2 linked regions of the Drosophila melanogaster genome follow. The protein of the gene in region 2 interacts with the protein of the main gene of each other region in a pairwise test. Each region holds a gene or a part of one and is shown on either strand. Other genes may lie near its edges.

Region 1 (15,049 bases), on a different chromosome or scaffold from region 2:
GTTTCCGTTGATGGCGGTGCTCTCTGTAAACTCGATTACCTTTATGGACACCCAGCTGGCAATAGCCTTGTTCTTAACAGCGTAGTATGTCTCTCCCAACTGTATTGGAGGACGCACGATTTCGCCAGGAGGTGGAACTTCATGCTGAGTAAATGGTTGTATTAAATCAGATCCAAACGGCATCACTTCTTACTTACCACATAGTCACTGGGTTCAATGTCCAGGGTGGGCAGATGTTTGTGTGCCACCGGACACGAGTTATACAAAGCGCAGTGCATTTTGTCAGCGGTGGTCTGAACTTTTTCGAGTTCCACATCTGCCAGTGCGAATTGTCGCTCCAAGTGGTCTGCTTTCGCCTGGAGAATAGTTTTTGACCAGGACAGCTGAGCCGTAAAATCCACCTTGTTAAGTACATTTTTGATGGCATCATCGAGTTCATCTTCGATGAGCTGCAGCTTGTTTTTCGAAAAGTCCGATTTTTCTGTGCGGATAAAATATATTTAGTACGTTTTTTTTTTTGCTATTGTTTATTTATCATGATAGCAGTCTCACCTGGCTGCTTCTCCTCTTCCTCCTCATCGCTGCTGTCCAGAGCCACAAAGTCGGCGTGATCCTGATGGAAATCCTTTAGCAGCAGCGGCTGCTTGGCCATTAGTTGTCCAGCATACTCCTAAATAAAGAAATACGTTCTAAGTTTCCCTCTTAAGTTAATAAATATGCTAGTTGACCTCATACAAGTCCATTGCTGTGTCATGGCATCCCATGCAGAGGAACTGCTGCTTGGAAGACTTTCGGAGCACCTGGTAAAAGTTTAAAGTGGCCATGTTAGCCAACACGTACTGTTTATGAAGCTTTGTGCAATTGCAGTTGACACATTCCTTGTCGTAGAAGACATCTCCATCTGATAACAAAGCGTTCAGCTTCTCGTCTTCTGCAGCTTTCGGAGCAGTGCCCTTTTCAAGCTCCACCTCTAGGACATCGTCTTTTTTATCAACAATTTTGTGTTCTTCGATTTCCGTTAAGCTAATACGCTTGTGACCTTTTAATGTATTCTCAATTTTGTATTCTTCTGCTGGTCGACTTATTGACTCCTCGACGTCCTGATCTACCTCCATGCCAGGAGGTTCTTGCTCATTTTCCTTATTGGTCTTTTCATCTTTTTCAGGAAAACTTTCGGATGTGGGACTGCTGATGCTGCTATCAGTCATTTCCTCGGCCTCTTTAGCCGCAGCTTCATTGACAGCATCTGGTTTTGGCGGATCTTTCTCACTTTCGTTGGCGGAGGAGAATTTGACAGGACTCTCTATTAGCTCAACACTGCTGTCCGAATCCACAGCTACCAAAACCGGGCTGCTTGCAATGGCTTTCGTGTTCTCTCCCTTGCGGTCCTCCGATTCGTCGGCCAACTTTCCAGGTTCATCAGGGGCCTTACCTCCATATGGGCACTGCTTCCTGGTTGAACCGGTGGCGGCGATTGCTTCACTGTGTGTCAGTTCCTCAATTTCCACATCCTTTGCGGCTTGTTCTGCAGGAGACTCCAAGCTATTTTCTCCTTTGCGCACCGGCAACCCGTAACTTTTTTCCCTCGACGCCGGTGTTTCTTGGACATCCTCCACTGTGCTTCCACTGCTCTCTAAGCAGTCCACGGCTGTTGGCTGCCCAGACATAGTTTTAATGAGTTTACTTAACTTTACACATTAATGCAAATTTGCGAGACAAGCGATAACATTGTATAAAATTTCGCTCGTAATTTGCCAGCCCTAGATTTTAGTGGCAGAAAGAAGAAGAGTGTCTATTCACACAAAAGAAAAAGAACGGAAATTCAAAATGTTCGCTGCTGCAATGGATTTAATTTTTTATTTCGGTCTTCGGGAGTGGGTCCTGTTCATTAGGCCTCGACGACCTTTGGGTGGTAGCCGGTTTCATCGGCGGTGTAGACCACTTTGACGGTCTTGCCGTTGGGGGCCACGTACTCGTACTCCCCGGAAACCACCCAGTTGTCGTGCTCCTTCAAGGCTCCAGTTTGCACGGCGCGAATATGGTTGGATAGCTCATAAGCGTAGTTAAAGTCCAGCAAGTTAACCTCGGAGTCGCTCTTTACAACATCAGCCTCCTCGTTGGCGAAGACCACGGCCAAAAGGCAGGCAAGAACGATCTAAAAGACAAATCGTTGTTCAGAGGTCCCCAAAATCTAATTTCGATGCCACTTACCACAAACTTCATGGTTGGAAAGGGGATGTGTGTGCTGATAGATAGCGATAAAATTTTGACTGCTGGTTGCCGAAAATTGCGCTTTTATATGTAGCTCTCCACTGACATTTTACCGGCCGGAATCACCAACTGCATAAATTTTCTTCATAACTGGCTCCCAGCGGTCGTTTGTCTTAATTAAACAAAAGACATAGATGCAGTCATTCTGCAGGCATTAATTATCGCCCCACTCGGCATATCATATTCGGGGGGTTATCTTTGGAGATCTGTGCGGAAGATTCCCAAAACAACCACGTTCATCAATTGTCAGCACCGCACGATTAATTTTTAGCTGATAAGAGCTAACCGGTTCCTTCGATGCTAACGCCGATTAGCATTATTTTCGCATAACTCCATTAGCAGTCTGATTTTGCTCCCGCAGTTGCAACCGGTTTCTAACAAGCTGCGATTGCAATATGGCCTGGGATTTGAATTTCTTGGCGCGCAATTAGCCAGTGCTGGAAAATGTCTGGGACCGCACAGATTTGCCATTCAGAGGGAATCCCACGTGGTGGTGTCTGCGTATCGGTGTGCACTGCAATCTCCCCCAGAAATATCACGATGGCCAGTGATTCTGGCAGCGATTATGAGGTGGAGGCTTTCTTCAATCCCAAGCGAGTTCAACGCACAGTCAACGACGACAGTGCGGATCTATTGGGAAACTTCGATGACCAGAAGCGAAGGGAGATCTTCGAGGGCACGTATGTGGACAAGGAGGACGGACGGAATCCCAGTGACCCGGAGGATAGTAAGAGCGAGGATGAGGCCAAGTCCGACGACGAGGCAGCCGCTGAGGGCAGTGCTGCTTCCGGAGCCGAGGAAGAGGAATCTGCGGAAAATGGGCAGATAACCAGTGACCAGCTGAGTTCACTGCTTCGAGGAGCCTCCAAAACCAACAGACACGTCCTGTACGTGACGAACCTGAACTTCGAAACCACAAAGGACGACCTGGAGCTGCACTTCTCTGCGGCAGGCACGGTCAAGTCTATCCGCATTCCCAAGAAGCGACGAGGGGGCTTCGCCTTTGTGGAAATGGCCGACCTAAGCAGTTTCCAGAATGCCTTCCAGCTGCACAACACAGAGCTGCAGGGACGCAACATCAAGGTGCAGATCTCCGAGGCGGGCAAGAAGAAGTCGGCCAACAAGAAGAACATCATCAAACAGAAGAACCGAAAGCTGGCCGAGATGCGCAACGAGCAGAAGACCTTCACGAAGAGCGGCAAGTTTTACGACAAGGACCTGAAAAAGGAGAAGGCCAAGGAAATGCTGGCGCGAAAGCGGTGGCGCAAAAAGCCCGCCCCCAGACCCACATAAATAGCATAAGTTCTTACAATGTAAGCCATTCTATGATTATTTAACAACAATTAAAAGTTAACATTACCGGATAAGAGGTTTACTGTTAACTATTGCCAGCGCACAATATAGAAGTTGCGTTTGCCCACGCGCAGCAGAGAAATTCCGTTGCGCAGGATGTGCACGCCCGTAGTTAGCACTTCGGCGATATTCTGCACCCGCTTCTGGTTAACGTAAAATCCGCCTGCGTTTATAATGCGTACAGCATCCGCTAAAGAGTGATCACAAATCGATTATGCCCCATATTTCCAAAGAGAAAGATAACTTACTCTCCGTGGGAAAGCACTTCGCCTTCATGGCGAGCTCTAGGATGGACATTCCTGGCTCGGTCAACAGGTTCACCATAGTAGCACCCTGAAAAGTCTGCTGGATCTCGGAAAGGTTGAGTTCCGCTAAACCCTCCACGTTGCCTTTGTATAAGGCATTGGTCACACGTTCCGCCTGCTTCAGCCCACTTTCTGTGAATTGAAAACTTCTATACTACTGATATAAAGGAACAATGATATAGAGTACAACCTCCATGAACCAGCAGAGTCACGTCCTCAGCCAGCAGAGTCTGCGCCTTCCGCTTCTCGGGCTCCTTCGTGTGCTCCCGCATCAACTGCTCCACCTGGGGCAGCGGGATGAAGGTGAACAGCTTCAGGAGCTTTTCGACCTCGGAGTCTGGCATGCGCAGGAAAAACTGGTAGAGGGCGAAAGGCGAGGTCTTGTTACCGTCTAGCCACACTGCATTGCCTGCCGACTTGCCGAACTTATCGCCCTCTTCCGTCGTGACCAATGGCAGGGTGAGCCCGAAGACCTCTCGCTTTCGCTCTACGCGGCTAATAAGCTCGTGTCCAGTCATTAAATTGCCCGTCTGATCGGAGCCTCCCATTTGAAAGCAGCAGTTGTGGCGGCGCAGTAGGTGCAGCCAGTCGTAGGCTTGGAAAATCTGGTAGGTGAACTCGGTGAAGCTCATTCCGTCCTCCGACTCCAGGCGGGACTGCACCGAGGATCTGGAGAGCATTGACCCCATGCGAAAGTGTCGTCCCATGTTGGCCACAAAGTCGATGAGCTGCAGGTCCGCATACCAGTCGGCATTGTTGACGATTCTGCGGAGATTAGAAAGAGATTAACACGACCTGATGTAGGCTACACACTCACATTAGGGGAGCCAGTGGCAATTTCTGTTTCTTAGAGTCCCAAAGGCAGTTCTCGTGATTTTCGAACACCCGGCGAAGCTGTTGCTCGATAGCCTTTAGATTGGTCTCGATCACCGTCTCGCCCAGTTGGTTGCGCTCTGTCTTGCGTCCACTGGGATCCCCTATGAGTCCAGTTGCTCCTCCTACTAGGGCAATAGGTCTGTGGCCGGCTCTTTGGCAGTGGATCAGGCCCATTATTACAAGCAGATTGCCCACGTGTAGACTGTCAGCGGTGGGATCGAATCCTGCGTAGATGCTCTGTTGGCCTCTGGTAAAAAGCTGTTTCATCCTGGGACTGTGGAGCAGCGGTTTTCATAGATAAAATGGAAATCTTCTCTCTTTGTAGATGGTCCAATACTTACGCCGCTGTATCAGGAAATATGCCGTGGAAAAAGCCTCGATCTGTGAGCTCCAAGAGGTTCTTCTGCGACATCTGGCGGTGGCTATGTCGGAGTACATCCTGGAGCGGTTTGAGCAAACTCCGGCGCAGAGGCAGCATTATGCGAAGTTCGTTGGAAATTTTAAATTCCTAGAGGGACTGATTTTGAGGTTGGAGCCATCAGCTGATCGGCGCGCGGTGAATGACAAAATCTGACTTGTTTTGGCTTGCAAACAGCTGGTTGTCGCTGCGAATGGCAACATCGGAGTCCAAACACAAAGGTTCCATTTGGAGCCAACGCAGTTTTCCATGACAAGGGGCTATTCATAATCAAATCTAGAGATAATGCTGCTGAAGATACGCCACGCCCTGTTGGAGGTCACCAGTCCACCGGCTGCAAAACAGTCCGCGATCATTATTAACAACGAACTCATCATCAGTTCTGGAAGCATTCTGCAACCACATTTGGCCGTAGACGGGGACAAAGGAGCGCAGAACAAGGCAATTGTTGCCAGATTGCAGAGGGGTCAACTGCTGGATGTTCAGAATGAGGAGCAGGAAGAGGATGCGCAGATCCGCTCACTACATTTTGTGGCCACCTTCGATCCGCAGCAACGACGGCCGAGGCCAATCGCAGCACCTGGGTCGAGGCAACCACACATCCTCTCCCGCTTCACTGCCCATCCGCTGTACGTGTTTTGTGCGAACGAAGTTTGCCGCAACCTGCACCACATACTACTCACCGCTGACTCCGGCGATGCGGGTGAGGTGCTGCGCTCCAGTTTCGTGGTGCTGGGCCTGCGGAAGCCCGAAAAGGAGAAGTCCTTCAAGCGCTTCCTCGCGCACATCGCTAACTACTTGCGATACCTGCAGCCCATGCACACTTTGGACGACGTGCTGGTCATGTGCTCGCCCTTTGGCCTGGAGAACTTTTACAAGACCATCAGCATTGGAAAGGTGTCTAATGTTATGGGACGAAGTGGCTGCTTGTTTGCCATTTCAAACGCTTTGCCCCTGGGCTGTGAAGGCTCTGCAGTGTTCAACAACAAGCTGTAGGTGATGAATACGTTACAAAACCGTAATATACCAAAAATTTCCGTTTATCAGGCGGCTCGTTGGCATTGTGATATGCACCTCATTTCAACGCCATCACGAAAACGTCAACCTCACTCTGGCCGCAAACTTTGGCTACCTTTTGCGCAACTTTATGGAACAACTGGGCATGTCTACTACAGCATTCCAGCTGAGTCGAGAGCCGTCGAGCTTTGCCTGTAAGTTAAGACTAATTCCACGTTGTTCTTATAGTAACTACACACCGTTCTAGGGGAGCGCACCATTGTGGTCATAGAGTCGGCGGGTCAACAAGGTACCGGGACCTTCATAAGAGTACACAACAAGCGCTTTATCCTCACTTGTGCACATGTGGTGGGACAGGTATGCAAGCATGGGCTGCCCGAAACCTTGGCGCACTAAATAATGTCTTTCACGCAGAACATTGAGACTGTTAATTGCCGTGCTGCCGATCGCGAGTTCCAGTCTGAGGTGATTTGGTGCAATCCGGACAGCGATAAGCCCTTCGACTTGGCTCTACTCACAGCTCCGCAGGATGTGCCGGAGCAATGCTGCGTGCGACTGGCCAGGAGTCCGGCCACCGTCGGGCAAATGGTGTACAACGCCGGGTTTCCCTACTACGTTAACTTCAGCTTCAGGCACGACTTCAACCCTTCGATTTTTCAAGGGAGGGTCATCAAGTGCGACACCGGGGCCATTATGTCCGATGGCAGCGTGCAGGCGGGCCAAAGTGGAGGACCGATGTTCGACCAGAATGGATGCATCCTAGGCGTTTGTGTGTCCAACATTAAATTAGACGACGTCGTCTACCCAAACATAAATACAGCCATTCCAATTTGTGATATCCGCAACACGTTGCAGCAGTTTGCACGCACCAACGGTGAGCAGAATGTCGAATCGATGGTTTCTAGCTTATCTTAATTCTTTGCAGACTTAAATGTGCTTAGCAACCTGGTAGCCAGTCCAGATGTACACCGCGTGTGGTCTCTGGAAATGCCCCCCATTCGCAGCAAACTCTGAGGAGACTCGTGCATTGTTCATTGTTAACGAAACTGTAATTAGTGTTTTTATATAATATGGCCGGTTAGCCAGGCTTTTAAGATTAAACAAGATATTGTAAAAAAAGAAAATATATATATATATATAAATTTATTAATATGGTAAGAAATTGTGCTTAGTTTTTATCCAAACAATCGTTAACGTGACTCTGAAGCACGCTTAAGGCGTTAAAGGACTTTGAACAGATCGGACATCGCAAAGTGGTGTCTGAAGTCCGGGATGAGGCGCCTGTTGGGTCGAGAATCTACCGATACAAAAATTAGTATTGACATTTATGGACTTTGGAATCAGCGTACTCTTACTGGTCTCTGCTCCTCTCGCAAATTGCTTCTGCTTGAACTCAGCGGAGAAGCGGTCGAGCACGCCTTGCTTGCCTTGTGGGACTCGGCCAGAGCTTCGATAAGCTCCTGGTTCCTCCTCTGCAATGATCGCAAGTCCATAAGATACTGATCTTTCTCTCCGGCATTCTTCTCGCGATCTGCCCGCTCCATTTCAAAGTCCCTGCGGTAGATATCGTTTTGGATCTGTAGACCTTTGATCACCTCCTGCTTCTGGATGTCCCTGGCCTTCAGCTCGTTAATATCCAGCTGCATTTTCTTTATCAGCTCCTGGGATTTTGATTCGGTTGCATACTCTGGTACGAACTCAAACGAGTGCTGAAATAACAGAAGAAAAAGGGTGCGAGCCCGGAAGAGAATATTTTAAAGAGATACTGTCCAGTTTACAATGCAGAATAGCAATGATTGCGAGTCTGTATGCAAGTATTTGCCCTATCGCTTGGAGCAACTGGTAGACATACATTTAGCTGTTTCAGTTTGTCAATCTCCACGCGCATGTTGTCGATCAGGGACTGTTTCTCAGATACGCTCTTACGAAGCTCATCCTGCTCCTTTAGCCTGATGGTATGAACCCCTTCAATCTGCTCGATTTTCGTCTCTAGGTCCCTCTTCAGCTCTTGGTTTTCCACGCGAAGGATCGCGATTTGCGCTTGGCACTCTTTCACATGCTCCTTGTACTGGTGTTCTCGGTCGGCGGCTTCCTGGCGCCATTGTTGAGTCAGGTTGTGGTAGTTCAGCATGGTTTGGTTGACCTTGTCAAGTGTGCCTGGCCGGATAATGGCATATTATTGCTGTATATTACTTTACGGGAAAAAAATGCTCACTCTTTAGCGCGAGGTACTCGGTCATCATGTTCTGCAGCTTAACTACTTCCTCTGCGGAGCCCTGCAACGAGCAGAGGCTGGGAAACTGCGAATAAACACTGTTCTGTGGTTGGATTTAGAGACTGTTGTTAGAATTTAAACAGACCAGACGGTAACCAGACGCTCACCTTCAGGACATCGGATTGAATTTCTCCCATAATGAAGCTGGTCGCCAGGGATTGTTGCTGGGAAGATCCGGAATCCAGCGATTTGTGCTGCTGCTGCGATGCAGTGATGCTGACTGGAATACAGTTCACTGTTGGCGGCTGAGTGCTCGTAGAGGCAACGGTTTCCTTCGCCTCCTGCGCGTTACCACATACGTCGGACCGCAAGGAACTGTCCGGCATGAGCGAGGAGCACGGCGAGCTACCCAAGATAACGAATGACTCTTCGTCCGACATGTCTCCGTTGTCGCGGTAGCAATGGCGGGTATTAATAATCAGATTTTACGACTGTGAACGCAGGTGAGGGAATTCCCCTCTTTCGAAAACTAGACGGCAAAGTATTAGCCAAATCGATTAATTTGATATCGGCAATAGTAAGGATAAATGTATAATAAATGAGTTTTAGGGCAATGATTCATTAGGCGTGGGAATTACATCGACGCGTCACAATGGAATAAGCAATTGTCATGTTTATTGCATATATACCTTATATACTACTGCGTTCCTTATCTCGTTTTGCTTTGCTGACAAGCTTTAAGGAAATAAAATTGTTTTCGGAGTAATATTTACTTTTAACTAATTTACCAAACAACTTAGACCAGTGTGACCGCAATCGTTTCAAATGTGCCTTTTTTTGTGTCATTGATTGTCATATTGTCATAATCGGAAATGTTATCGACAATCGGCGAGCTCGTCTATCTAAATTTAAAAGCAGCTAATTTCAATAAAACTGATTACACGCCCAAAACTCGTGCATATGAAGTGCAGTTTGCACTGCAAGGGCGGTGGAAAGTCCCGGCATCATTTATTCAAGCCCAGTGACGTGCATCCCAATTTACCTTCCTTTGTTGCTCAGCTGAGATTAATGGGCGCGTCCTAAAGGCCTGAGCCTGACAAACCAGTTGCCAGCGAAATTACACCGAAATGTAATTGCCAAAACTCGCAAATTCTAATGGACGGCGCAGTGCGTTCTGAACCCGCCAAACCGGATTCAGTACCTCCATTGTTCGGCTCAACTCTGTAGATGTGGGTTAATAAGGCTTTCGCGTGTTAAATATAGGTGTGAGTGGAGCTCGCGACAAGGAACTGGTGGCTGGCCGAGATGCGACTTTCGTATTACCATAACCAACCGGTTCCTGGCTATGTGCACAGACCGCATCCCCATCCTCATTTCCATCCCAATCCACACATTTTAGAATTAATACGTTCGTAACAATGATAATCATCATGCGGTTTATTACTCAAGAATCTCTATGTGATCTTACGACTAATGCACGCGAATAAATAAAATTAAAAAAACTTAAACGAATACGATACGAAATTCCATTAAAGCTCAAGTGCATTCAAGAAAACTCCTCAAACGGCTACAACTAGAAGACTCACACGTTCACTCTCGCACTCTATGATGCAGGATCTCCTCATCTGCTCTATCACATTCACACAAGGACTTAGGTCTAGGCCTGCGGATCCTCTGACCGCGATCTTACGCCTGTTGCTGGCGGAACAGACGCCTCTGCGTCTGGTGGGGTGGCTGGAGGTCGCTCTGCAGGATAGAGGCGAAGTGCTGCTGCTTTAAGGAGCTGATTGTGGCGATCTTGCGGTGCCTGTTGGGCTGAGCGGCGGCCAGACCAAGATGAAAGTAGGGCAGGTCTTCGTCCCGCGGCAGTGGCATCATCTTGTCCTCCTCCACCGGGGAGCCATCGGGTCGCACCCGGATCACCAAAGGTCCGGTGAGGAATCTTTTGGACGGTTCTGAAGTCAGTGCGGCGGCCATTGGGAGCTCACTGCTGGACTGCGGCCCGTAGCCGTAGGCCTTGTCCATGTCCATGGCGTATTTGTGCTTCTGCTCGCCGCTCTCGAAGATTGGATTGGTGGCGGAGCCGGAGCTCTGGATGGGGTGGGCATGGGATGCTCCGTGCGGAAGTTGCTGGCGCGTTAGGATGATCAGAGAGGACGCAGGAGGAGTTGGCAGGGGCTGTTGGAGCGGCTGCCTCGTTGTCACCAGGCTGGCTCCGCTCGGATGGTCCCCCATAATCGATGACCAGACTGCGGAAGAAAAGAGCGATTAGATCGACACCGAGATTTAGAGCTCACGTCGAGCACGTCGCGACTGCGCACTGCGGAAGTTCTGACGCGGAAATCAATCATTCTCCCACGCAGATAGAGGCACTTACTCAGCTCGTTGGCATCGCGCTGATACGGATCTAGTGCCTCCAGCTGTACGTCGGAGAGCGTCTGCAGCTTGGCGGACCCGTAACCGAGCAGGTTGTGCTTGCACTGGTTCACTGGGAGGCCTCCGACGGCGGCTGTTGACTTGCAGTGCACGCTTACCAATTGAGCGAATGTTGAGTAGAGGTGGGACATCTGCAAAGTAACAAAATTGGTGGTTATTTTAATGGCGTCTTGTGTTTAAGAATCAAGTTATAGAAATTAGAAAGCAGATCATCGCTTCTCTGTTCACCAGCCGAATATGGTATTGATTTGTCATAAACGAAAATCGGAGAACATATGTCGGTGATATTAGAAAAAAAAAGAAAAAAGAAAGTTCGAAGCAATCATACTTCGACCAGGTCTCTTGGGTAACGCAGGGCAGAGGTGGAGCTGAAGCCTGGTGCTCTCAATGGGGGGATTTCGCAAGGTGCGTGTGTGTCAGCCGGGAGATGATTGCACTTTCGTTGCACAAACGAAATGCATTTCGACAGCGCGGCCCGCGGGTTGAGCAACTGCCTCCCAGGGCGAGATTGGATGGCTGCCATCTGGTTCATGTGCCCCAGTTCGGATGGGCTGGGTATGAGTATGGGTTTACGGTTCAGCGGCCAAAGCAACAGCTCATTGTCTATTCTCCGTGGCCAGCGAAGCGTCGAATGGACTTTTAATTAGCGCCGAATGTTCTACTGCGGTGACACATCTGCATCTGAGATTTGTGGGATTTCTCTGGTCGTCGGTGACGTCAAGTGGATCGCTTCAGCTCCGATGCTAATTTAGTGGTGGTGATACAGAGCAGAAGCTCCCTGAAATTTCCGAATCCGGCATTGGTCACGACTTAGCACCTCTCCCGACAGACAGCCAAACAATCGAAGAGTCGACGAGCAAACAGCAGAACAAAGAAATAAAAAGAAATGGGGAACTGGGTTACTTCACTAGGGGATCCAGTATCGAGTCTGTAGCCTCCTTCTAGATATATGTATATATATATATATATGTATTTGTATACACCCTTGATCTGCTTCAAAATCTAGCAAGAGCTTCATTTGCATTGGCTCTGCTTTGGGTTTTACAATTTTACGCCGTTTGCATAATGCATTGGATATATCGGATCGGCGGACTCGGAGGGGCCAAAGTTGGAGAGTTGGGTTGTTGGCGGGTTGGCTCACATTACCAATTACCGTTACCCACTCAGTGGGGCCACACAAACGTGTGCAAACTGCGAATTGCAGTGGATACCATCGCACCACCTCAGCACCCCCCTGGGTGTGCATTTGCTCAGATGTGTACTTGAGTGGGGCAGCGATTAATTGAACGAATCGGTTCCTTTGTGCCCACCCCTCCGCCAGTGGAAGCCACTCTGCGTCAGGAGCACGTTATCTGATTCGAATAACTCGGTCGGGATTTTATGGTCCAGGCCCTGGCACAATTAAATATATAACCCAGTCAAAATTGCAAATTCAGCAAAACAGCAATTTATTTATGGCTTAGTGCGCAAATATTCCAAAAAGCCTTTGCGGGAGTTGTCAAAGTCACGTACTTAATTCGCTTATATAATATACGCTCGTTTTTATAAAAATATGTTTACTCGAGATCGTCGCGGACAGGTTGTAACTCATTAGCCTTCCAGCGAAGTGAGCTAAGCTAAGTTGAGCTGAGCTGGCATCGCCTGGTTTGTCCACAAGTCTAGCCTATAGACAGACTGATCTTGGCCCGAGCCATCTGTATCTGTATCTCAAACTTCCTTGTGGCTATGCGAGATACTCAGTCGACGCACAACCCCCGAGAAGCGAGACCCAGAGATGGCCAAAAGCGGTCTCGTGGGTCTGCAGACGCGACTGCTTCCCGGGCCGCAAGTGGTGGTGGTAAACCCCTGGCCCATACCACATGCCATCCCCAGCGGATTGGCGGTCAATAACCTGTTGATATGCGCAGGTTACATTATGAAACATCGAAATGGCCAACCACAGAGACCAACGCACAGACAGCCACGAAAATGAAAAATTTCATAACAGACAAAATAAAAAGCTAAAAGACGAAGTAATGATCGAAGTTCGATCGGGTATCGGATGGGAAAAGGGTTCCATTACTACACACATGCTTGTGTATCCCAGCATATTTTACGTAAAAACAAAACGGTAATGCGAACATAACTTATTTATTGGGGCCCGGACCGCAAACCGGCCAAACGCGTTTGCACCCATAAAAACATAAGGGCAACAAAAAAATTGTTAAGCTGTTGTTTATTTTTGCAATCGAAAATCGAAAGCGCTCAAATAGCTGCGATCACTCGGGAGCAGGGTAAAGTCGCCTCGAAACAGGAAGCTGAAGCATCTTCTATAAATACACTCAAAGCGATCATTCCGAGGCGAGTCTGGTTAGAAATTTACATGGACTGCAAAAAGGTATAGCCCCACAAACTGCGTCTCCACATCGCTGCGTTTCGGCAGCTAATTGCCTTTTAGAAATTATTTTCCCATTTCGAGAAACTCGTGTGGGATGCCGGATGCGGCTTTCAATCACTTCTGGCCCGGGATCGGATTGGGTCACATTGTCTGCGGGCTCTATTGTCTCGATCCGCGGATTTAAGGCGCAGTTCGCGTGCTTAGCGGTCAGAAAGGCAGAGATTCGGTTCGGATTGATGCGCTGGCAGCAGGGCACAAAGATCTAATGACTGGCAAATCGCTACAAATAAATTAAAGTCCGGCGGCTAATTAATGAGCGGACTGAAGCCACTTTGGCGGAGTTCATTAACCAAAAAACAGCAGATAAACAAAAACGGCAAAGAAAATTGCCACAGAGTTGTCACGCTTTGTTGCACAAACATTTGTGCAGAAAAGTGAAAAGCTTTTAGCCATTATTAAGTTTTTCCTCAGCTCGCTGGCAGCACTTGCGAATGTAAATTGAAACTGATGTTCCTCATAAATGAAAATTAATGTTTGCTCTACGCTCCACCGAACTCGCTTGTTTGGGGGATTGGCTGGCTAATCGCGGCTAGATCCCAGGCGGTATAACCTTTTCGCTTCATCAGTTGTGAAACCAGATGGCTGGTGTTTTGGCAACGACAGCCAGCGGACTCCCCTCGAACGCTCTCGAAATCAAGTGGCTTTCCAGCCGGCCCGCTGGGCCGCTCGCCCACTGGACCGGTATTCCCAGGCCAGGCCACACTGTACCGCACCGCATAATCCTCGCCAGACTCGGCGCTGATAAGGCCCAATGTCAAGACCGCACTCCGCAGGCGTCTATTTATGCCAAGGACCGTTCTTCTTCAGCTTTCGGCTCGAGTATTTGTTGTGCCATGTTGGTTACGATGCCAATCGCGGTACAGTTATGCAAATGAGCAGCGAATACCGCTCACTGACAATGAACGGCGTCTTGTCAACCATTCATATTCATGCTGACATTCATATTCATTCCTTTGGTTTTTTGTCTTCGACGGACTGAAAAGTGCGGAGAGAAACCCAAAAACAGAAGCGCGCAAAGCGCCGTTAATATGCGAACTCAGCGAACTCATTGAAGTTATCACAACACCATATCCATAACCATACCCATATCCATATCAATATCAATATCGCTATTATTAACGATCATGCTCTGCTGATCAAGTATTCAGCGCTGCGCTAGATTCGACAGATTGAATCGAGCTCAATAGACTCAACAGACTCCACTCGACAGATGCGCAATGCCAAGGACAATTGCCGTGTGTAAGTGGAGTAAACGAGGCGTATGCGCAACCTGCACCTGGCGGACGCGGCGTATGCGCAATGTGCAATTCGCTTACCTTCTCGTTGCGGGTCAGGAACTCCCAGATGGGAATGGCCGATGACGAGCTGATCTGAATGTGGAAGGCGCCCAGCAGGCAGCAGGCCAAGATTACTTTCGCCGCAGTCGTCATGGTGTCGTTGCTGCTTTTATGTTGCGTACTCCGCACTACACGGAGAGTTCAGGGGATTCGTGCTCCGTGATCTGTGATCCGTGTTCCGTGGGTCAATTGCACGGTTCGGTTGTGTAACCTTCGTGTGGCGACTTTCTTTTTTTTTAGGGCCCAATAAAAGCGCTTTTGTGGCGGCTTGATAGATTATCACTTGGTTTCGGTGGCTAGCCAAGTGGCTTTCTTCTGTCCGACGCACTTAATTGAATTAACCAAACAACGAGCGTGGCCAATTCGTATTATCGCTGTTTTCGG
Region 2 (16,521 bases):
ATAAACATTATCTTGTTCAAGTAGCTTAAATATTTTATGAGTATTCCGCACTTCCCCACCAACCCACTTAATAGAACATTTAGCAGTTAGTCCTATGTAGAAGTCTAGAATTAATATCGTAGCTCTGATCCATTTAATATGAACGCTAAATAAAGATTGTATTAAACTATGCATTGAGTTTAGTATTACTTATTTTTGGATCTGATATATAAAACGTTTTAGTCTGTATATCAAAACTTAATACAACTGAATAGCAAAACTTGTTATAAATTCTAATTCTTCTCAAAATTGTATACTCCGTCCTTTTCTACTGACGGAGTAGTTTTACCATATCTGTGAGCTTTTAGTCGTGCTTAATGTGGATAAAAATCGTTGCCTACTTTCAAGCGCAGTTTAAATCACCAAATGTACCCAACATACAAGTCAACATTACTTTACTTTACATATTACTTAACAGCACTGTAGCCTTTTTACAACGTATTAACTTTTTTTTATATTTATTTATTTAGAAGCTATAAATCCATACAATGCATTGTAACATAACAGAGCAATTAACAGATAAATGATAAAACCAAACCTCTTACTAACAACGTATTAACTATTTGTATGCCGCCAGCGTAAATATTTAAATCTCCAAATGAACTGCAAATCAGTAAAATAGTGTTTTTTTACCATTGCCAATTTGCTTAGACATTTTCACAATAACCACTAACGGGCTAGTTGGTCAATGTCAGATTGTCAAAATGTACCATCAGTCTGGTGATAAACAATCAAATTACACAGGCGTGATCTGCCTGCCAAGGTGCCAATTTAACAAACCCAATCGAAGCTATTGACCTCTTGGCGCCAATTGCACGTGATCAGGTGCGGATTAGCCAAAAGCCATGGGAAAGCCCATGCAATTATTTGTTTTCTTTGCTTTTATGACATTGCTAAAAAAAATATATCGCAAAAAGTGATGGAGACGGGTGATTGCATCACTTGCTCTGGCAAGCTGGCTGTATTGAAAAAAACCAGGAATGCACCGACAAGTGTGAAAATAAACGCCAATAAAACATAAATACAAAAAAATCAATAGGGAACATTAAACTCGTTTGTTTGGCGCTTAAAGAAAATAAAACGCTGGTTAATAATTCAAGCCGAACGTTGCGCAATCCCAGGCTTCACGAGTGGGACAACTTTTGCCGGTTCGACAGCTGTTCAATCTCGGCTGGATTTTATTTATATTGCTTTTATGGGCTAGTCGGTAAGGAAGCAGCTTTAATTTAAGATATCGCAATCCGCAGACACGAATTTTGGTAATTTCCGCACGCAACTTGCAAGCCGAAAAACCGGAGAGAGACGAACATGGATAATATTTCGGATATTCGGTTATTGTCACAGCATGCAACATTGAAACCTTGGGGGAGAAAGATTATAAAAATAATTATAATTCACATAACAGTTGAATTTGCATATTCATGTTTTCGTAAACTGCGGCAATTAAGTGACTTCCCCAATGACAAATGAGTGTTGGAGATGCCAGCGTGAGAAAATGTAAAACTACAAAGTTTTAAACATTGATTTTAATTTCCAAATTTAAGGTCTACAAAAGAGTGGTAAAAAAATGTTAATAGCCAATGAAAATGAATGCTACTTATTGTCACGCAATGTATTTTCATGGGTCAATTACGAGTGGGCTTAATTCATCATCCATGCCTTCACGAACCAAGTCACTGGACCACCTCTAGGCTAAGTATTAATTGGGGAGACTGCGTAACAGAAACTTGCAACCAGACTACACGCGACAAGTGCCACATGGAAGGGGGTATTGTGGGGCATGGGCATGGGCATCGGTGGCCCGAGGCATTGGAGCACGAAGAGTCCGAAAACCGGACAACACCCGTGACAATGAAGGGGCAAGGCGGCGCCGACTATCCCATGCAGACAACTCCAACTCCCGATGCGATCGAGCAGCGTCTGCGTAATACCAGAAGTAGTCAACAGGTGAACAACTTCGGGGGTGCTCTGCTCCACCATGGTGGAGCCCGAAGCAGGCCAGGCTATATATGTATATGTACATATGTGTGACGGCGTGTGTGTGGCGCAACATTCATAAACATAAACAACCTGGGATTCGGTGGCGTTTATGCGGCAAACGAAAGTAAAATGTAAGGTACACATATCAATACAAAAAATAAAACATCCCAAATATTCGGTCAAGTGGTGGAGCTTCATGTGCACTACACTTGGGAAAGTTGGCATAGTACCTGCAGCAATTAAAGCAGATGAAGCTTAACGGGTTGAATGGCTTATATAAATTTAATCGCTCAAACAATGGGCAATAACTATAATAAAATAACTTTCTTTTCTCTGCAATTTTTTACCAGAGATACTTTAATAAATTAGTGTCGTTACTAGTCATTTATACGTGACTTATTCTGTAGAAAGAACAATTCTTTTAAACACCAAAACGTATGCAACATATTTCACTTGAATGATATTTTTAATGATAATCACATGCAATATTTTTAAGAAAATCAATTCCTTAAAAGTGCATTGCTTTCAAAATCTTTTTTTATTTCTTCCCGTGGTCACTTGTCAGTCGGATAAACGGGTAGTACCGAAATCGCGGAATTCGTTACGCCAGTGCGGGGGAAAAAAAGTGTATGTAAAACTGGCCGCAAAAGCAGCGAACGAAAAACAAAACTATTGTTGGCCATCTTGGCCTTTGATGGTTTCGTTCGACTTTTCTCTTGGCTATCCCGGCACTTGGTCTCGAGCCATCGTCGCCAACGGTCGCGCTCAACGGATAGCAGATTACACGCCACGGATTAAAGTGCCGATCCAAAGGATACAATTTGCTTTAGTTTTCGTTTGCTTGTAAACATGGCTGTTAGCACAACATACTGGAAGTTGGCCGTTAGTTTGAGTGTTTTCGGTTCGATTTGCCTGATAACGGTCACACACGGGGCGTATACTCGCGAAATTGTCAACGACAAGCTGCCGTTGCAGGAGAGGCGTAAGTAGAGTTGGCCAACAGACCCGAAATATATACCTATATATACATATACACAGATGTACATATATATATATGTATATTTAAAGAACAAAGATCAGTTTTGAAAAAGATAAAGCAAACTAAGTAGTAAATTTGAGTCTATATTTAAAGTTAACATGTATCGAAAGACCTAATTTTGGAAATCAAATGTATAAACCAAACCTTTCCTCGCAGCCTCGTGGCTGCAGACGTGCAAACGCTCTAATCCGAACGAGGACAAGTGCTTTCGGCAGCTCTTCGAGGGATGCTTTCCGGCACTAGCCGCTGGCATTCCGGAGATCGGAGTAAAGAGTTTTGAGCCCCTAAACATTGACCAGGTGTCGGTATCCAAGGGCAGCGGCAACCTGGTGCTATCCGGAGGATTTCAAGACCTGGTCATCCGAGGGCCGTCCAACGCGACTGTGCGACGAGCCAGGTAATTAAATATAACTCACAAATAGCACCAAATAGCTACTAACAAACACACTCATTTCGCTCCGTTACTCTCTAGCTTGGATCTGGAGCGGCGATTGCTAAATTTCGAGCTGGAACTTCCAAGGCTTAGGATCCGGGCGAAGTACAACCTGAAGGGAAATATCCTACTTTTGCCCCTTGTGGGCAGTGGAGACGTGGCTATGGCGCTGAAGAACGTACACACAACCGTGTACACAAGGATCTCTCTACGGAACGAGACACGCACGGGCGACGAGATCATCCATATCGATGAAATGAAGGTTGGCTTCGATGTAGGCGCCATGAGAATACACCTGAAGAATCTATTCAACGGAAACGAAATTCTCGCGGCATCGATTAACTCCTTTCTGAATCAAAACGGCAAGGAGGTGATAGCAGAGCTGCGTCCAGACCTGGAACTGGGACTGGCAGACATCTTTCATGGACTGTGGAACAATGTCTTCTCCAAGATGCCCACCAAACTGTGGCTGGTTTAGTGATCTTCAGGACCACGTCCGCCGTTTTTGTATTATATTTATAATTTATTTCGCTTTTAACTGTCTGCTTAATTTGTAGGCTACTGTTTGTACTACGATTAAATCAGTAAGATAGAAAAAAAATGGGCTTCACTAGATATTTTACATGGGAAGCAGATCATCGTAGCTAAAAGAAGCAAACAATTTATCCACGGAGGCCCTCAAAATGTCCACCAGCGCCTTGGTCATCAACGGACGCACTTCCTCGGCCAGTGCCTTCCAGTTCTCGTTGAGAAACTCGTTCATGCGATCACCCAAAGCTTTGTCCCCGTTGAAAAGGTTATCCAGATGAATGTGGACATCAGATAGCTCGTACTTGACCTTCACAGTGTTGATCTTCAAAAAGTTGGCTCCATTCTTTTTGTACTCCTGTCCAATCAGCTCGGTTCGCATGGTGATGTTAACTGCAGGAATATTACAAATAAATATATATAGACTGTAAAGACTTGACTCTTTTAGCTTACCGAGATCCACCTTACAGTGGCCATCGCCCAAAAGTGGCATCATCATAATTTTTCCCTAAAATAATATAACAGTTTTAGTTAAGTCAATTTAGTTTAAATTGTTGAAATGACAATATTCATACTTCTCTACTGACCTTAATGCTGTAGTCCGATTCCATATGCAGCTTTGGGAAGGTCAGAGACAAAATGAACTTGAGCTTTGAAGGCTCCAGACGCAGCTCATTGACCGTGTGCTTTGAGATGCCTGTGACTTTGACATTTCGGTACACTGAGTGCAAATATATGGCCCCGGAGTCCTGGTCCATCTTGACCTGAGGAACAACCAGCGGCTCCATGGCAGGTATATATAGCTCTGGTATACCTTCCATAAGCCTTGGACGTAGTTCCTCATAAGATTCTCGAACACAGGTGTCTAGGTCGGGTGCATTGCGATGGCATACCTTAAGAAAGGATGCTAAAAGGAAGAAACAACAATATAATTTTACTTTTTCATTATTCCGATTTAAATAATTGTTAAGTTTCAAAATATCACTATACTCACGCGATTGTTAGTAAAAATATAAGAAAGACAAATTGATTTACGTACGCAGCTGATCCGCCTTTTTCGCCGGAGGTTTGGCTGTTGTCCAGTCTATATGTAGTACTACTCCTAGCACCAAAAGCAAGCCCGTCAAAAAGTATTGGTTCATTTTGTGTTTCCTTGCGATCTCCTTGAAGCTCTGGCAGTGGTCACTGGCTTTCGGCTTCTGGTGGCTGCCCAGTTGTTCGATTTTCTTTTATAGCAACGTCTGGCATGGCCAAAAGCCGACTAATTCTCTGTTCTGCCGCATGTGCAATTTCCCGTGACATTGCAATCCTCAGCAAGTTTCATTTCAATTGACCAAGCCAAGCTATATACAGCTGTTTATTCAGAAATTAAGCGGTCTGTCTATATATATATATACATACATATATATATGTCATAAAATTATATAATCTACTGTGGATTGAATATATAGCAAGTATTGATATAGTAACATACACATCTGGAAATCAGATCAAATGCAAGTGCACTATTTCACGATACCGCGAACATAAATTAAGTCGTGTAAACACTTGGGTTTTCCAGTGAAAAAGCGTAGCTAGTAAAAAATAAGGTTTGTCATTTATTTCAATGTTCGTAACACATATTTCTAAACAAAAAAAAAAACGTTTCCAAATGAGAACATTAAAGATTCTATGAAACTAATAAAGCTAATTAATTGGATAAGCGGGCAATAACAAAAAATCGAAATACACATTTGTATGATTTCGAATGGAGAAATATTTATGCGGTTTGATTGAAATCAAATTAAAATGTATGGTCGACCAGAATGCACACTAATAGTGATCAATTTTCATTTCATTAACAAGTCTGTAACCCAAATGATTTATTAGTAAATTTTTAACAGTTTTCTGTATTAACTTACATGTTGTTAATCCTTTCTGCCTCTTCGATAGCGTTTATCGTGCGTAGAGAGTCAAATGGATCCGAGCTGGGTGAGCCAGAGCTTATAGCTAGGCGGTCCATCGCTGCGCTTAGCTCAAGCTTCGGAGGTGGTGTGCTTGAGGCTGACATCAACATCTGCAAGTTAATCTGAAATATCTCCTTCTTGATGTCGCAAAATTGTTGTAGAAGGACCGGGATGGACTCCTTGGTCTTAAAATATAAGTAATGCATGTGATCGATAGACTTGGGCAGATGTCTAGCCTCGCCCTCGTTATATAACTTGAAACGAGATTTTGCGAATTCCTCGGCGTCATTATTTAACTCTGATGGCGAAATTATCGCACCATTGCAGAGATATTTCTTATAAAATCGAGCGCTAAGAATTAAAAAATAAAAACGCTGCATTATACATATTGGTCTGGTCATTTGATATAAAAACCTTACCAATCGAATAGGTCTTTCTCGCAAACTTCTTTCCGTAGTTGATTGGTGGTTTTAACCATGTCCTTGGCTTCCCGCAAGCAGGCTTCCAAGAAAGACCTAATTGATTTTGCGCTTTGTATAATGAAATTATAATTGCGGTTAAGCTTCTCCCACTGTGCACTGCTGATAAGCTGGAAAAAAACACTGAATTACTACGGGATTAAGGAGTATAGTAAGAACTGCTACCTGGCGGGACGGAATCTTTGCTTGGGCTTCTTTTAGCAAGCTTGTTAGCTGATCATAGGCAAAGGAGATTATGATACGCTGCTTATCGATGCTGTCTATAAACGAGTTTTCCATCATTTCGTCTTCCAACGACAACGCTCGCTCGTTTATTCCTGACACGAGCATTTCGTATCTTGCTTGCTCTTTGGTTAGCACGTAGAGCATATCCAAGACAACACGTTTTTGCAGCCATCTTTCCTTCGTCTTAAATTTGTTAGCGATAAACTTTCGAGAAAGAATTGATAGAATGGGTTCAGGTATTTTGTAGTCACACTCTTTCTTGACCTGAAAGATGTACAACATCACAGGTGGATTGCTGCGCTTAGTCCACTTTCGTGAATCTTTGCTTGTGTCACTCCACTCCTCCACATACAGCTGCAAGGGCGTACTTTTAGGCGTAATCGTTTTGTGCGGATGGGAAGTGGGCAGCACGAAGTACAGTTCCTTTTCGTCCATTCCAGTGTCCAGGACAATCAACGCAATTAGATCCTTCATAGTCATCTCCGCAGAGACCGCATACTCAAGTCGTTCGCAGTTGTTAACAGCAAAAATAGTTAGCACATTCATATTGAGTATTTTGTCCAGGTCAGCGAAGACGACTGGAACGTTATTAGCTGCTAGTTGACCGCGTTCCTTGTAGTTTGAGTTTAACGGGCTTGCCAGCCATTTGGTGAACTGAGCAGCCCAGGGCCGCGACAGATGGTGCGTCTGTGGCAGTTCAAACTGATTCACGAAACGAGTGTTATCCTCCGGATCCTCTGTGATAGCAATGCATTTGGCGGGCTTTTTTATCAGATTGAGTATAATGTTTTTAAGGGTTTGATGGGGGATGAAGGGCAGCTCACCAGTGACCAGCTCATAGGCAATTACTCCGAAGGACCATAAATCCACGGTCGAGTTGTAAAAACCATTTTCCACCACTTCTGGGGCATAGTAATGTCGGGTGCCCACCACGCTCTGCACCATGGTCTGGTCGGGAGTTCCTCGGGCGAGTCCAAAATCGGTTAGCTTATAGATTTTTTTGCCATCAACTCCACGTTGGATTACTATATTGTCCGGCTTCAAATCGCGGTGGCAAATCCCACACTGCGAGTGCAGAAAATGTAGGGCCTTACGTAGGGCTCCCAGTATCTGCCGCACCTCGAACTCCGTCAGACCATTAGCATTCTCCGGGCTCTGCAGACGCTTCCTCACGTCTCCACCGTTACAGTATTCCAGCACAATAACAGGCAACTTGGCACTAAACATGCCATTCAGGTACTCCAAAAAGTCCGGATCCTCGATGTCCACGCCAGCCACAATATGGGGAAAGTTTTTAAACTGACGAGACCAGTTCAGCTCCTTGTTCCAACGCTCGCTGAGCTTGACTTGCTGATCGGCACTCAGGGCCCCCATCTCCTTTATGTGCTTGGTGGCTATGTGGAAAATAAATAAACACTTAAGACTGACGCTTAAAATATCTGCCATATCGGCTAACTCAGCCGAAAGGCTATAAGCGACATATCTAATGCGGAGACCACACCAAACGCGCAAAACTCGAGCCCTCTATCACTATCAGTGGACCACCCGGAAACGCATGCCTCAGCTCGGTTTCTGGGAATTGTTGGACAACAAACATGTTCATATGTATATGTATGTTGTTTTTATGGTTTTATTATTTGGATATATACAAAATACAACAAAAAATTTATTTATTTATGAGTAAGGCTGGAAAGGGGGAGGGTGTTTGGGGGCTGGTAATGTGTGTTTGCGAAAAAGAAAATCCTTAAAATATTTATATGTATATGTATATTAGTGTTAGCCCATAAGGTGTTTATAGCTCACCAATTTCACGGCCCGTTGTTCGGTTTCGCCAATGGATCACTAGGCCGAATCCGCCCTCTCCCAGATTCCGGCACCGCTCCCAGTTCCCAAAAGAGTGCATCTTGTTGTTTTCGTTAAGCTTTATTTTATTTACGGAGCTCATTCTTCCAAGAATCTGAATCCCTCCATGGCAATCGGAAAAGCAAAACACCACAGTGATCATACAAGATTTGCGATATTCGATTGCTTATACACTAGTCATCGTTCAGCAGCAATCGCGGTCACGAGAATTTTGTTTAGAGGAGCGCTCAGCTGCAGCCACTTTCAATTGGGATGCATACCTTTAAATAAACTGGACGAATTGGGATACCCAAAAACGTTTTTAATTGAAGCTTAGAAATGGTGGCTTAAAATGTCAACTGCTACTGAAGTCACCCTTCGGTCACTATTTGCTTCACTCGCCTCAATTTTTATCGATTAAGTTATCGCAACGAAGTGACATCGCTAATCAAACAGGTTGTAAACAAAACGCTGAAAAATAACTTTAGTTTAGTGAAAATAGTAATACTCCTGCATGCTTGAGCTAAGATGCGTTTCCACATGAAGAGCGGCAGCGAGGACAATGACATTGTGGCGGCCACAGCCACTGCCGAGCATATCCGCAAGTTTGTCTTCAGCGGATCACCCGCCGAGCGACTGGAGATCAAAATACCTGAGGTAATCCTTAGAACCAGGTGTTCGTGTAGTATCTAAAGTGTCCGCCTACAGCTGCTTCAGGGTGCCTACTCCTTCTACACATGGCCTTGCGCACCAATTTTAGCCCACTTCCTGTGGGAGCGCCGACAGACACTGGCGGGCAAGCGCATCCTGGAGCTGGGAAGCGGCACCGCCCTGCCCGGCATTCTGGCGGCCAAATGCCGCGCCCAAGTGGTACTTACTGACAACTGCATTCTGCCCAAGTCACTGGCCCATATCCGAAAGTCCTGCCTGGCCAATCAACTGCAGCCGGGCGTTGATATCGATGTGGTGGGCCTGAGTTGGGGCCTGCTGCTGAACAGCGTGTTCCGACTGCCGCCTCTGGACCTTATCATTGCAGCAGACTGCTTCTACGATCCCAGCGTGTTCGAGGATATCGTGGTCACAGTTGCTTTTCTGCTGGAGCGAAATGCCGGGGCCAAATTTATATTTACATACCAGGAGCGGAGCGCCGACTGGTCCATAGAGGCGCTGCTCAAGAAGTGGAAGCTGCAGGCTTTACCCATCAGCATGGAGGACATTGGCAAGGAGTCGGGAGTGGATCTGCTGGAGTTTATGGGCGGACACACTATTCATCTTCTGGAGATCACGCGCATCGAAAGCGATGGCTCAATAAATACAACATAACAATTATACAATTGGCTTTTTTTATGCTGAATGTCAAATCTCTCTTAGTTAATGTTCTACACGGGAATGCTCCCAAACATCAAATAAATATTTGCCTGTGGTAATCGCTTGAAATCAATGTTGGCCAAATATTTGGAAATATATGTTTAAAATTTAGCGCGTACCTATCAAAGTTTTCCACCCAGCACACTAATTCTAGGTTTTAGGGGATGCTAGAGTTGTGAGTAGCGGTCACACTGGCGCAACGACGCTGTTGGAAAACTGCGAAAATTATTATTTATTTACCTACCGCGAAACCAAGTAAATTCCGCTGCACAAAAGAGGCTCGAAGTGCTGGAAACGTAGTTAAGTTATTGTTCATTGTTGCTACATTACTTGGCATCCCGGAAAGACCCCGTCGGTGTGTCTTTGTCGAATAAGTGTGCGTGCTTCTGTGTTGTGCCGTGTGTAAGTGTTGGTACGTCGTCGCCTGCGAAAAATCGAAGTTATTGCATTGCGCAGCCCTTTCAAGCCGCTGTCCCTGGCCAGCTGTAAGTCCCGCAGCTCCTCGCCCAGTCCCCGCTCTACGGCGGTACTTGGATCACAATTCTGATGGTGAGTGTGCTAGTGCGTGTACCGGAATGCACTCGGATGCATCGCGATTTTGTTCCAGGGCGTCGCAATTTGTTTGTCGCTAAAATGGGCGATATGTGCTTCATCTGCGGCTCTCAAGTTGCAGCCACTGGAAATTGATAGCCGCTGCAACCATTGGCGGTTGGGTGGAACGGTAAACGACGGCATAATCCAGACACACAGCCCACAGGAGAAACATTTGTTGTTGCCTGCGGTATGATCCGTTAATTCGAACTTGAGAGCGTCGGTGTGCGTGAGAGCTTGAAAGAGCGAAATCAAGAGAGAGGAAGAAACAAAGCGCGGGCATATCCGAATTGAAAAATGCTCTACTCAAACGTGAGCACAGTAGGAGCGCATCAAAACAATATTAAAGAGACAGATGCATGAATAATAAATGGGAGTGATGGAAAATCCACGCCTGATTCAGTCGCAGGCTTTCGTGTGCGTGTGTCACCTTTTGTAGTGGTTGTGCGGGGGGTATTTGCCGTGCCCCTGATTAATTGACTGAAAAAATAACGCGCTATTCAGCGACATGATATCACCCATCCTGGGTGACAAGCCCACCAACCTTTTCCGAAAATCCAAATTTACACTCTCCTATTTCTGCTTCTGTTTGCCAAATAACTGCACTTAGAAAACGACAATCTAAATATGGCCGACCCATTTACTTTTTTCCGCCCCTCGAGCGAAACGGATGGATGATTCTGCTTCCTTGGCCATCGGTATTTCATAGACTATTAAGCTCAATTTTAAAACATCAGCTCGATGACTCCTGACATCCGGAATAGTTCTGCTTCATTGGAAGCTTGGCTAGTTTTTCTTTTAAGAAAAATTCGATTAAAGTAGCTTTTTTATACATATTTATCTTTTTGTTTCGCAGAATGCTGCTTGAGGCTGTTTGCGACTGAGACCATTGAGGAGAACCCGAGTAGCGTACGAAACACGACACAATGGCCGAGGACACAGAGTACAAGAAGTTGCCGGTGGAGGAGCGGTGTGTCCATAAACTATGGAAAGCCCGCGTCGATGGTTACGAGGAGGCCGCAAAGATCTTTCGCGAGCTGGATGACGAGAAGTCGCCGGAATGGTCTAAATTTGCAGGGCTCATAAAGAAGATGGTAGTGGACTCTAATGCTCTGGCCCAGGAAAAGGGTCTAGAAGCGGCCCTCATTTTTGTGGAGAACAGCGGGCTGGCGGGACGCACAGTAGGCGACGTGATGACAGGCATCGTTCAGAAGTGCATTGCGGCGCCAAAGACCAAAACCAAGGAGCTCTCCGTCCAAGTGGCTCTAATGTATGTGGAGATAGAGAAGCAGGAGGCCGTCGTCGAAGAGCTGGTTAAAGGTATGGAGGCCAAGAACCCTAAGATTGTGTCTGCCTGCGTGGCAGCCACCACACTGGCCCTCCGCGAGTTCGGACACAAGGTGATCGGCGTCAAGCCGTTAATTAAAAAGCTTGCTCCGCTAATGTCTGACCGAGACAAGACGGTCCGAGATGAGGGCAAGCAGCTGGCTGTTGAGATTTACCGTTGGATCGGAGCTGCAATGAAGGCACAGATCTCAACGCTACCACAGGTAACGCTAAAGGAGCTGGAGGATGAATTCGACAAACTCAAAGGTGAACGCGTTGAACCCTCCAGGTGTGTTCAAGGATTTCTCTCTATCATTGCCTAGCTAAACCGCTCTTACTTTTAGATATCTAAAGTCCCAGCAGGAAAAGCAAGCGAAGATCGCCGATGCTGCAGCGACCGAGGATGCATATAATGGTATGAAGCCCTCGATATTACAAAAGCAGTGAATTATTGATTTGATTTTGGTTTTCGTATGCAGAGGATGATGGCGAGGCTGGCGTTGAAGAAATCGATCCTATGGATCTTCTAGACCCCGTTGACATTCTCTCCAAAATGCCCAAGGACTTCTACGATAAGCTGGAGGAAAAGAAATGGACTCTGCGCAAAGAATCGTTGGAAGTCCTGGAGAAACTGCTCACTGACCACCCCAAGCTAGAGAATGGCGAGTATGGAGCGCTGGTAAGCGCTCTTAAAAAGGTTATAACCAAGGACTCCAACGTAGTCCTCGTTGCAATGGCCGGAAAATGTCTAGCCTTGCTAGCCAAAGGATTGGCAAAGCGATTCTCAAATTACGCATCCGTAAGTAACTCTCACCTTCTTCCAAATAACGTGTTTTCATATGTGTTCTTCTATTTCAGGCTTGTGTCCCATCCCTGTTGGAAAAATTTAAAGAGAAGAAACCTAATGTTGTGACAGCGCTGCGTGAAGCTATTGATGCCATATACGCCTCCACTTCTCTAGAGGCCCAGCAAGAGTCCATTGTAGAGTCCCTGTCCAACAAAAATCCAAGTGTTAAGTCCGAAACGGCCTTGTTTATTGCCCGTGCCCTAACCCGCACCCAACCAACCGCGCTAAACAAAAAGCTGCTTAAACTTCTGACCACCAGTCTAGTGAAAACGCTTAACGAACCAGATCCAACCGTACGCGACAGCAGCGCCGAAGCTCTTGGTACTTTAATAAAGCTAATGGGAGACAAAGCGGTGACTCCTTTGCTCGCCGACGTCGATCCACTCAAAATGGCCAAGATAAAGGAGTGCCAAGAAAAGGCGGAGATTAAAATAAAGGTTGCAGGTCCAAAGAAGGAGACACGACCTGCATCTGCACCGACTGCGAAAGCTGCTGCTCCGGCTAAGACAGTGGCTGGTAGTGTGGACCCTAAGCCAGTAACCCGACCGGCCACTACAGGGGCACGTAAGGTCTTGAAAAAACCGGCGACGGTTAGTGGAGGAGGAGCTACATCTGCCCCAACTGCAGCTCTTAAAGCGGGTGGAAAACCCCTAGCCACGGAACGCGAAATAACCCCCGAGGAATTGCAAGAAAAATCCGAAGAAATTCTGCCAGCCGAAATTCTTAATGGGCTGGTGGATTCCAACTGGAAGAACCGCCTTGCTGCTGTGGAACAGCTTCTGGGCGAAATAAGCGGTTTTGATGCAAAACAGGCTGGCATATCACAGATCCTGATCCGAACAATCAGTGGACGAAAGCCAGGCCTCAAAGAAATGAATTTCCAGGTACTCAAGTTTAAGCTAGACATAATCCGCAGTGTGGCTGAAAACTATCCACTGACCACGACAACCGTTGATCTGGTGATTAACGAAATAATCGAGAAGCTAGCAGACGCCAAGAATGGTGCAGCAGCTGCAGATGTTTTGTCTGCCTTTGCCGAAGCCACTAAACTGGAGTATGTTGTGGGCAAAGTATTGAGCTTTGCTTTTGAACAAAAATCGCCTAAAGTGCAATCAGAGGCCTTTAACTGGGTTAACAGGTCAATCATAGAATTCGGCTTCCAATTGCAGCCAAAGACACTTATTGAAGATGTACGAAAAGGCGTGCAGAGCACGAATCCAACGGTTCGTGCTTCCGCCATTCAAATGGTAGGCACCATGTCTATGTATATGGGCAAAGCTCTAATGATGTTCTTCGACAGCGAGAAGCCTGCACTAAAGTCCCAGATCCAGGTAGAGTTTGACAAGAATGTGGGCGAAAAACCACCCAAGCCTGTTAGAGGAGTTCAACGTAGCAGCGGTGGAACCGCTGGTAATTCCCCAGACAATGAGGACGATGATGGTGGGGCAGCCGGAGAAGAGGAGCCCATTAATATGGCTGATCTTCTACCACGCGTTGATATTGCTCCACAGATTACGGAGGCATTGCTGAAGGAGATGTCCGACAAGGACTGGAAAACTCGCAACGAGGGTCTGACTAAGCTGCAGGCTATTATTTCAGAGGCGCGGCTAATCAAACCCAGCATTGGCGACTTGGCTCCTGCTCTGGCCCACCGTCTGGTAGATTCCAATGCTAAGATTGCCCAAACGACACTTGCCATTTGCGAGCAGCTTGCCACAGCCATGGGGGCTGGTTGTCGAAATCACGTGCGGAACTTGTTCCCTGGCTTTTTACACGCTCTGGGTGATAACAAGAGTTTTGTAAGAGCCGCTGCCCTCAATTGCATCAATAGTTTTGGCGAAAAGGGCGGCTATAAGGAATTTTTTGAGAGCGAAATGATAGCCGATGCCCTGAAAGGAGGATCCCCAGCTCTAAAGACAGAATTGTGGGCTTGGCTGGCAGATAAGCTGCCTGGTCTTCCCCCCAAGTCAGTATCGAAGGAGGATATCCATTCAATGGTGCCGCACTTATATGCTCACATCTGCGATCGAAACGCCGATGTCCGGAAAAATGCCAACGAGGCGGTGTTGGGCATTATGATTCACCTTGGATTTGATGCAATGAACCGCGCTCTGGACAAACAGAAGCCCGCGTCCAAAAAGGATATACTTGCAGCACTCGAAAAAGCGCGTCCTAATCTTCCGGTAAAACCGCTGCCCAAAGGCAAGCATCAGGCTCCAATACCTGAGGAGCCGAAGCTAAAAACAGTGCGCGGCGGTGGAGCAGGTGGTGCGCCTGGAATCCAGAAGAGTGCTACAGCCCGGGTTGCCGGAGGACAAGACAAGCAGGTACCAGCGCGCAAAAAGGACGAAGATATCGACACATCGCCGCTACTGTGCGCCAACAGTGCTAAAAACCAGCGGCTGCTAGACGAGCAAAAAATGAAGGTACTAAAGTGGACTTTTGTAACCCCAAGAGAGGAATTCACCGAACTGTTACGCGACCAAATGATGACCGCAAACGTAAATAAAGCACTGATAGCCAACATGTTCCACGACGATTTTCGGTAAGTCCCTGTAGTGTCCCTTTCGCATTACCTAAATAATTACTTGAATTGCCCTGAAGCTACCACTTGAAAGTCATCGAGCAGTTGAGCGAAGATCTGGCTGGTAACAGTAAGGCGCTGGTGTGTAATCTGGACCTAATACTTAAATGGCTGACGCTGCGATTTTACGATACGAACCCTTCTGTGTTGATTAAGGGTCTCGAATATCTAGTACAGGTTTTCCAGGTACTCATTGACGAGGAATACATTCTGGCCGAGAACGAGGGAAGCAGTTTTGTCCCACATCTGCTTTTAAAGGCAAGTTCCAGATAGTAGGGGGTATTACAATTTTCTAAGCTTTCTTTTTCACACCCAGATCGGAGATCCAAAGGATGCTGTTCGAAATGGCGTACGCCGCGTTCTGCGGCAAGTAATATTGGTCTTCCCTTTCGTCAAGGTCTTTGGCTATGTGATGGAGGGTCTAAAATCGAAGAATGCCCGTCAGCGTACTGAGTGCCTTGACGAGTTAACCTTCCTAATTGAAAGCTATGGCATGAACATCTGTCCCCAATCGGCGGTGCGCGAGATTGCTCGCCAGATTTCCGACCGGGATAATTCCGTACGCAACGCAGCACTCAACTGCATCGTCCAGGTCTTCTTTTTGTCCGGGGAAAAGACTTACAAGATGATTGGCCATCTTAACGAAAAGGACCTCTCAATGCTAGATGAGCGCATCAAGCGAGCCAAAAAGACTAAGAAGCCCACGCCACCGCCATCTGTTGATGTGCCGGCACCTCAACGACATGACAGCATCGAAATCGAAGATGCTGAAGTGGGCAACGGTTGCGACGAGCTTCCACCACCAGATGAGGACGGGTAAGTGAGAAGGCTAGCTTAAAGTTTTGCGAGTGCCCTGTACAACCGAGGGTTGGAAACTGGTGTTGTCATTATTCTGGGATAGCAATAATAAAATAATCCACAAGACACGGACAAAATGTTGATGTGCGTCCTATGTATAATTTTAGTTGCCCAATTTAATGTGCGTGCCTATTAATCGAGAATTCGTAGTTATGGCTCTGTTTGGGAGTGAAAGCTTTTATTTTTGGATTTCTAAAACAAGCTGTAGTATTTATGTAAACTTTACACCACAATGTTATATAGTTAATCCTGAGGTAAAAAACATACGAAGACAAGGTAGGTTCGTTTCCTTTCGGTTAATTGTCTTCTACCGTTTGTGCAATTGTTTTGTACTTTCAAAAGATGCGGTAGTGGTTAGTAGTTTCCTCCCTCGGATGTACCAAAAGATGAGCATATTATTTTTATAAATTTCGGTTTGTTTCTGTTGATTTTCGTT

What was found.
Region 1: the proteins of IKKbeta (region 2) and key interact in a two-hybrid assay, tested with the Drosophila melanogaster proteins (one study listed by BioGRID).

The regions. Positions count from the first base shown.
Region 1 is NT_033778.4:24,778,147-24,793,195, forward strand, and holds key (kenny), read right to left. Parts: upstream 9,266-15,049; 5' UTR 9,145-9,265; intron 8,985-9,144; 5' UTR 8,896-8,984; coding exon 8,623-8,895; intron 8,559-8,622; coding exon 8,456-8,558; intron 8,398-8,455; coding exon 8,093-8,397; intron 7,950-8,092; coding exon 7,590-7,949; intron 7,538-7,589; coding exon 7,409-7,537; 3' UTR 7,368-7,408; downstream 1-7,367. Other genes in the region: egg (eggless), read right to left, coding at 1-144, 198-481, 553-670, 729-1,667; Lcp9 (larval cuticle protein 9), read right to left, coding at 1,889-2,155, 2,212-2,223; CG3594 (uncharacterized protein), read left to right, coding at 2,812-3,564; TyrRS-m (Tyrosyl-tRNA synthetase, mitochondrial), read right to left, coding at 3,654-3,814, 3,873-4,061, 4,120-4,694, 4,747-5,079, 5,147-5,283; CG3589 (uncharacterized protein), read left to right, coding at 5,509-6,215, 6,271-6,434, 6,488-6,597, 6,655-7,114, 7,166-7,254; Reg-5 (rhythmically expressed gene 5), read right to left, coding at 10,142-10,704, 10,833-11,022, 14,645-14,758.
Region 2 is NT_033777.3:16,040,749-16,057,269, forward strand, and holds IKKbeta (I-kappaB kinase beta), read right to left. Parts: upstream 8,674-16,521; 5' UTR 8,573-8,673; coding exon 8,473-8,572; intron 8,413-8,472; exon of another isoform or gene 8,283-8,412; intron 8,064-8,282; coding exon 6,610-8,063; intron 6,555-6,609; coding exon 6,385-6,554; intron 6,317-6,384; coding exon 5,921-6,316; intron 5,866-5,920; coding exon 5,832-5,865; 3' UTR 5,599-5,831; downstream 1-5,598. Other genes in the region: Jhbp4 (juvenile hormone binding protein 4), read left to right, coding at 2,869-3,001, 3,215-3,455, 3,531-3,969; Jhbp5 (juvenile hormone binding protein 5), read right to left, coding at 4,111-4,412, 4,473-4,527, 4,595-4,926, 5,059-5,161; CG5013 (uncharacterized protein), read left to right, coding at 9,040-9,168, 9,220-9,834; msps (mini spindles), read left to right, coding at 11,397-12,085, 12,141-12,211, 12,276-12,595, 12,655-15,188, 15,248-15,485, 15,544-16,043.